2 linked regions of the Oryzias latipes genome follow. The protein of the gene in region 2 purifies or fractionates together with the protein of the main gene of each other region. This does not show direct contact. Links are inferred from orthologs where the notes say so. Each region holds a gene or a part of one and is shown on either strand. Other genes may lie near its edges.

Evidence for each region.
Region 1: the proteins of kif22 (region 2) and kpna4 purify together in Homo sapiens (affinity purification with mass spectrometry; 3 studies listed by BioGRID and IntAct, counting the BioPlex papers as one, with this or other methods). This does not show direct contact. The link is inferred for Oryzias latipes from reciprocal best matches to the Homo sapiens genes KIF22 and KPNA4.

Annotation. Positions count from the first base shown.
Region 1 is NC_019871.2:13,522,420-13,526,666, forward strand, and holds the start of kpna4 (importin subunit alpha-3), read right to left. Parts: upstream 2,933-4,247; 5' UTR 2,771-2,932; coding exon 2,702-2,770; intron 750-2,701; coding exon 705-749; intron 560-704; coding exon 470-559; intron 1-469. UniProt on the Homo sapiens protein: Functions in nuclear protein import as an adapter protein for nuclear receptor KPNB1. Binds specifically and directly to substrates containing either a simple or bipartite NLS motif.
Region 2 is NC_019877.2:7,649,865-7,652,723, reverse strand, and holds part of kif22 (kinesin-like protein KIF22), read left to right. Parts: coding exon 1-96; intron 97-407; coding exon 408-804; intron 805-1,073; coding exon 1,074-1,191; intron 1,192-1,510; coding exon 1,511-1,631; intron 1,632-2,402; coding exon 2,403-2,565; intron 2,566-2,859. UniProt on the Homo sapiens protein: Kinesin family member that is involved in spindle formation and the movements of chromosomes during mitosis and meiosis. Binds to microtubules and to DNA. Plays a role in congression of laterally attached chromosomes in NDC80-depleted cells.

The DNA.
Region 1 (4,247 bases), on a different chromosome or scaffold from region 2:
TCTAAATTTTCTGTCATCTGAATCCAGATCAAACACACTTAGTTCAGCTTTAAGACATTTTCTAGATTTTCATCTGTCACCCATCTATTGTCTTTATAGCGCCTCTAAAATATCTAGAAATGCTTCATTCTTTGTGCCTGTAAGTATCTTGAGCAACAACTGAAGCTTTTGTGCACATTGATCAAGAAAAATGAGTACATAGCAAGACAAACTGCACACTTTGAAACAATCTTGCCCCACCTAGTCAGTACAAAATAAAGCAGCATCCTAAATGCAAAAGTCTAAACCTAACCTGCTCAGCATCTGAAGACTTTCCAAAAATGTACAAAATCTCAGTACAAATTCAGTCTATACCATATCTGACAAGCTGTCATCCCTGTTGCTAATAGTAGTATTGCAATTCAAACATGCAATATATGGTTTTTCTGAATAATGGTGTAAAAAAGGAATATTTGAAAGATAAACTCACTGATCTGAAATCTCCATCAAGATCAGAGTCCTCACAGAGGTCCTCGTGGGGAACATTTCTCCTCTTCAGCAGATGCTCGTCCCTTTTGTTCTGTAATGAAAAAGTTAGTGAGCTCACTTCACTAATCATCCATTTATGTTACTGCAAAGTATATATAAAATATAGCTGAATATTCAATTCTGAGAGCATTCTGCAATATTAATTAAATAATGGCTTAAGTAAAGAGTTTATTTACCTTTCGAAGTTCCACGACAACCTCAGTCCTTTGTCTTCTCATCGTCTGCAAGGAAAATATTAAATTTAGTTAAATTAGGAAATTTCAACCTTCCAAACAAATTTAGAGAAATAAATGAGAATATCAGGGTACTGTGTATATTCGGGTATTGATGATGCAGGTCGTCTGGGCATTAAGTCTACAGCATCTATAAAGCAGAGGTCTGCAACTACAAATGAGTATCACAAGTCTGACTAAATGTAACTCAGCTTTAAGAACTACAGTACCTGACCGATACATCATTTTTACATTTTCAGGTTTCATTGTTCTTTTTTGACATATTTGTATCATATGCAAAAAGAAAAAAAAGTAAAATGGCAAAAATGGGAACTGCATTTTTAGGAAATGGTAGTATAGCAAGCTTTTTCAATAAAAAAGAAAAAGCAGGTTAATAGTTACAACAAAACAACATGACTGGAAGAAGACCTTAAGGATCACTTTTAGGGTTTTCCTATACAAGATTATTCATCTACCCATTACTTTATTCGATTTCTAGTCAAGCAAAACCTGTTGCAAATATTAAAACCATAGTTTGTTAGGATCCTCACTATGACCAGTTATGTCTCAATTGTGTCCACACAGTCAGTTGTTTTATTAGTGATAACACTGACCAAAAATAGTAAACATATTAATGTCATATGACAGAGATGACTTAAAATAGAACTATGAATGAGAGAAGTGATCTGGTAACCCACTAAAAACATCTTGAAAATCGCACGCACTTCCTCCCTCAGCTACCAGCTTAGTAATTACATCAAGCCAAATTTATTTCAGAAGCGGATATGTCTACAGGTTGCAGTGCATGATGTGACATTAGATGTGTTTCTATTCACGGTAAAGGTGCAGCTTTACTGTCCCACGTGGCCGCCGCCCTCTGAAACAATTCTACGTCAGATGCACACAGTGGAGGCAAAGTAAATGCAAATTGACAATGTTTGTTGACTCAATTCCTCGTGAACCTTTGCATGCATTAGAAGTTATTTACATTAAGTATTGAACCTTGGTGTTGATGCTTAAAGTTTATCATTGGAGAAACGAATTTCACGCGCGGTTCTCGAGTTGAAAGTCGAATAATTAACGTAACAATCATCGACGCCCCCCTCGCAACATATATGTACCTTCTCAAACAGGATGCGTGGTTTCCTGCGTCTGCAACCCCACCTGAAACCGATATCAATACTAGCTGGAATGCATTAACAGCTACGCGTTGACCTGACTGTAAATCACCTGGTAACTTATTGATCCGACATGATGAACCAACGTCCAGCTTTGATCTATGAATCATGTAGTAAACGTGTTAAGGGGAGACTGCTCTCCTGAGAATACGTCCTATTAACGCATAAAATAGAACTATATTACTATTGGTGTGGACTTGAGCCTAATATAAGTGGTCATGTTAGAAGCTTACTTGTTTCCGCCATTGTTTTTGATTATAAAGACGGGGGATGGGTGGAACTGCAGCCAACAGCACCGCCGCGCTAACCTAGCACGCAGTTGGGCTAACTGCAATGTTAGAAGTACGAACATCTGTCGTTGTTTTAGCTTAACTTAACACCACATTCTCAGAAGATAACGTAAAAGTACTTTGTAAATAATTGTATGCAAGCTGTTAACATTTCTGACCGAGCGAGACCGAACTGGGGGATGATATGCATCAGTGGAGTTAGCATGTTCCCGGAGGCCTTGCTAGCTGGTGGCTAGCAGAGCTGATCCAGCGGAGGCTTTTCTGACATGTTTTACACCCAACACGGTTTCGGGATAAAACGAAACCAGTTCGAAATTGACCCAACGATTCCAGCCTCCAATAAACACTGATTTCTGAAGGCCCTCGCCAGTTTCTGGCAGCAAAGTTGCCCGTGGTGTAAATTAGAAACGACGTCACAACGGAGCCGAGGGGCAAGGCTGAGCGCGGCGGCTGTGCAGACGAAAGCGAGGACACCGATCTTCGCAACTTTTACCTCCAAATCTCGGCCCTTGTTCTTGAAATTCTTTAGTCGCTGGTTGTCCAGTTTCTCGTTGTCGGCCATGTTAGTAGTTCTGATTACGTTAAATATTACTGGACAGAGTTTTAGCCGGTAAGCTATCTGTTTCTGGTTCCCTTTTCGCAGTCTTTCGTTAGTGGACTATTTTTTGCTGCTCGGTCCGCGGTGCATACTGGGAATGCCGGTGGTAGAGGGCAGCCTCGCTCTGGCGTAAGGGAAGGGTGGGGAAATCCCCCTCACTCTCATTGGTTTCACCGCTCACGTCTGTGTGCAGAAGACACCGCATTATACCGACTCACGTCTGCTCATGTTTAGGAAGGCAGACGTTTGATTCGTGATCACCTAAACTTAAATATGTCATTTCACTAAAACCCTATCCATGTCGCATCATTTCTTAAGGAGTTTTCATTAGGGAATTGTAAAATTCTAAATTCTTTTTATTATAATAAAATTATATATATATTAGATATATATATATTATATATTATACTATGTACTATTATACTATATTATATAATATATATATATATATATATATATATATATATATATATATATATATATATATATATATATATATATATATATATATATATATATATATATATATATAATGAATTAGTTTATGCTATTTCTCATAAGGCAGTCAAAATCTGAATAAAAAAAGGGAATAGGATTGCTCAATTTTGGCATAGTATTAAGAAGTAAGGCATTCTAGATCGGAGAACTGTCTTTTTTCTCTACAATACAATGCTAAAAATGTAATTCCCAGTTTCACACCATGTTGCCATTATATTCGATATTACAACTACAAAATTATCAGTAGTATCACGATTTTTATTGAATACCATTTTAAAAATAGAGCATCATGGAAAAGTCTATTCATTTGGATAATTAGATCTAAAAATTGAATATAGTGTACTGTTTAATTGATTTCTAATATTTATTTATTTTTACATAAATTTGGGTTCCACCTCATTAAAACCACGAAAACAAACTTTTAGTAAATCTGAATACTGTGGTGAAATCTGTCCAAATTCTGCGGGGCACGGATGTTTTAAACTATTTTAATCTGGACAATGTTTTCAATGGAATCATGGAAATGACTATACTTTTCCATAATATTTTATGAATATTTATATTTAACACCTTAAACCCAAAATCTTCATAAAAATTACATTTATTTGAAGTTCCAATATTAAAAAAAACATCAACATGAGAGATTTACTTTATTCATTTGGGAACTAATAAATCTGCTGTAACCTTTGTGCTATCTGAGTCACTTTAACATTGGGAGTTGGGTCATCTAGACCCCACAAGACAGTGCGCTGAACATTTTTTCTTCAATGATTTCACTGGTGTCCATGGATTACATGAAATCCTATTCACCTTAATCCACCTTTGTCATGGTAGGAAGAACACGTCAATGTAAGGATCGGGTCATCTGGACCCCACAGGAAAGCACAAGGGTTAAGTTCTCACTGATTTGGTACAAGTCATTAAATCAATATCATTTTGTTTC
Region 2 (2,859 bases):
GACACACATTTTGTCCCTGCCAGTTTAAACCGAACCACAGCTTCCACCAAAATGAACCAGCGCTCAAGTCGCAGTCACGCTATCCTTCTGATCAAGGTCTGGCGTGAAATTCCATTCATTCCTAATTTTTCCCCTTCAAACTGAGATCCCAGTCAAACAGCATCTTAAACAGGTCGTGGTCTCTGTGCAGTAGACCAGGATTTGGTAGCTGGTGCTAAAATCAATTCTTTCTTGCAACACTCCCACTAGCAGCAAATGTTGCGCTTTTGGGATTACTTTGAAAGAAACAATTCAGTCATTGTCCTTTTTTTTTCCTGTTTTTATTTTCTTGCTAATCAATATCTAGTTGTGTTTTAGAATTGTCTATTGCATCCTGCATATTTGTAAACTGTTGCTGTTACTTTCAGGTTGTGCGGACTTCCCGTGTTTTACCCCACAGGCAGCAGACGGGCAAACTCTACCTGGTGGACTTGGCTGGCTCTGAAGACAACCGTCGCACCGGCAACCAGGGCATCCGCCTAAAGGAGAGCGGCGCCATCAACCTGTCCCTCTTCACGCTCAGCAAGGTGGTGGACTCCCTGAACTCCGGCACATCGGTCCGCGTGCCGTACAGAGACAGCAAACTGACCCGCCTGCTGCAGGACTCTCTGGGAGGCTCGGCCCACTCCGTCATGATCACCAACATCGCACCAGAATACAAATACTACTTTGACACATTTAGCGCGCTGAACTTTGCGGCCAAATCCAAGATGATTGTGAACAAGCCTTTCACGCGGGAGACTGTGGCCGTTCCTGTGTTACCAGGTGAGCAGCAGCAACACAAAGAACCACTAACTCTAAGGCCAGTAGGGGGCGCTCCTGTCCCAAACAGCAGCACTTATTTCAAGTTTTTGTCATTTATCATTTATCATGGTTGCTTTTGTCCTTTTGCCTTTCTTAAATACATTTTGCTGCAGCTTTGACTGATGTTGGGCTATCTTCCTCATGCTTTGCTGCTGATGGAGGACTGTGCACTCAAGCAGCACTCCTGTGCTCTGAATTTCAAGCGGTTTAATTCTTCCCTGCGTCTTTAGTGAAGCGAGCCCGAGAGGAGCATAAGGCTGGAGGTTCTGGCAGCGAGCCACACAGGAAGAAACAGAAAGACGGGAAAACACCCGAGCAGGACGCCTCTTCACCTTCAGCCGATTCCATGTGGGTACTTACTTACTTTTCCCAGACTCGTCTGAACAGCTCCGGCTTACTGGAAAGTGTCTTTGCATCATGTCAAATTCAGTCTCATTTAGACGACAGCATCAGAAACTGGCGCAGGCCTCATCAGAGCGAGCCAAGATTTTAGAGCTTACGAGGAATCAAGATTTATGCAAGGCTGCCATTGGTCACAGCTGCTCCCCCGACCATGCAAGACCGGCACTGCTCACTTTTACCATCTGTTATCAAGTGGACACGTCTGTTCGGCCTCAGACGCATAACCTTTTGACTCATGTTTTCACATTTCTATCCTTTTATATAGTTTGGCGGAGCCATCTGTCATGGACAGACTGATTGCTTTGGAGAAGCTGGTGATGAATTGCCAAAACAAAGACCGGCTGAGCGTGACTAAGGATGTGGCTCAGTCTCGCAAAGAAATCCAGGTGAAGTGGCACCAAAAACACCAGTGCAGTTTCTGAAACCTCATTGATGATGGTTACGATCGCGTAGATTAAAACTCTGTCAGAATCAGATGTTAGAAGTCAATCGGGGATCTGGTTCTTATTTTATTATTTTGATCAGTGCTATATATTTCAAGCACTTTTCTTTTCTTCTGGAAGTCTGCATATCTGGAACAAACCAACATTTTATTGCTGTAAAGCAGAGCAGAATACGTTAGCAGTTTGAGCAGGAGAGGCACAAAAACATTACGGGAAAGTTGGCGAGATGTTGACATGTTCAGACATCCAAACTCTTTAATAAACATTTAAAGCTGACAGCAAGCATCTCTATTGGTTTGTCTTAACGCAGTCAGTGATTGATCGATTGCCTTGAATGAAATGCATGGGAATCCTTGAAAATCGTTGTTCTTCTCTGTTGCAGAAGCTCGCTGGTTTGATACTTGGCGCTCGCATTTTTCACAAAAATATCTTTTTTTGCTATAGTGCTGTTTCCACTTTATTTATGGTCAACTTTGATAATTTCTTTATTAAAATTTTTGTTTTTGTGCCAATTATTACCCTTTAGGTTTCATTTTCATTCAGCAATATAGGCTTCAACCCTGCATTTTCTTCTGGAAACGCAGCTCCTCCTAGTCTTAATTCAATCTTATTTTGGCCAAAAAGCTTTTATTGTTTAGCATTTGTGCCGCATCTCCACTCAGATTTATCTGTTTTCATAAAAATATATATATATATTTGTTTTGTTTTTCAAAGGAGCTGAAGAAGAAGCAGAAGGAGTTTGAGAGTAAAGCCATGCTTTTCAGCCAAGTGGCCAAAGAAACCCCCGGTTCTGCAGAAGAGCCCGTCTTCAAAAACACCACGGCTCCTCTTCAGAGAAAACCTGCTAGGCAGCAGGCTGTGGTCCAACCCCTGCAAGGTCAGTGAGACGCAAACAAAGTCACTTTGACTCAGTCGTTTCTACATTTCCCATCAAATGGAACAAAAAAATCAAAAACCTTATTTCCTAAAGCAAATAGATTTTTTTTATTTTTTTATAGAGGAAATTACTAAACAAGTTTTTCAAAACATGTGACGTGTTCTTCCTTAATGAGTTGCTTCTGTCACATCGATTCTCAGTTTTATTGATCTGCAGTGCGAGATCAAATGGCGACGAGGAGGGATTCTTTTTACACCCCTCAGCATCACTGAGAGCCACTCGGATAACTTTCTT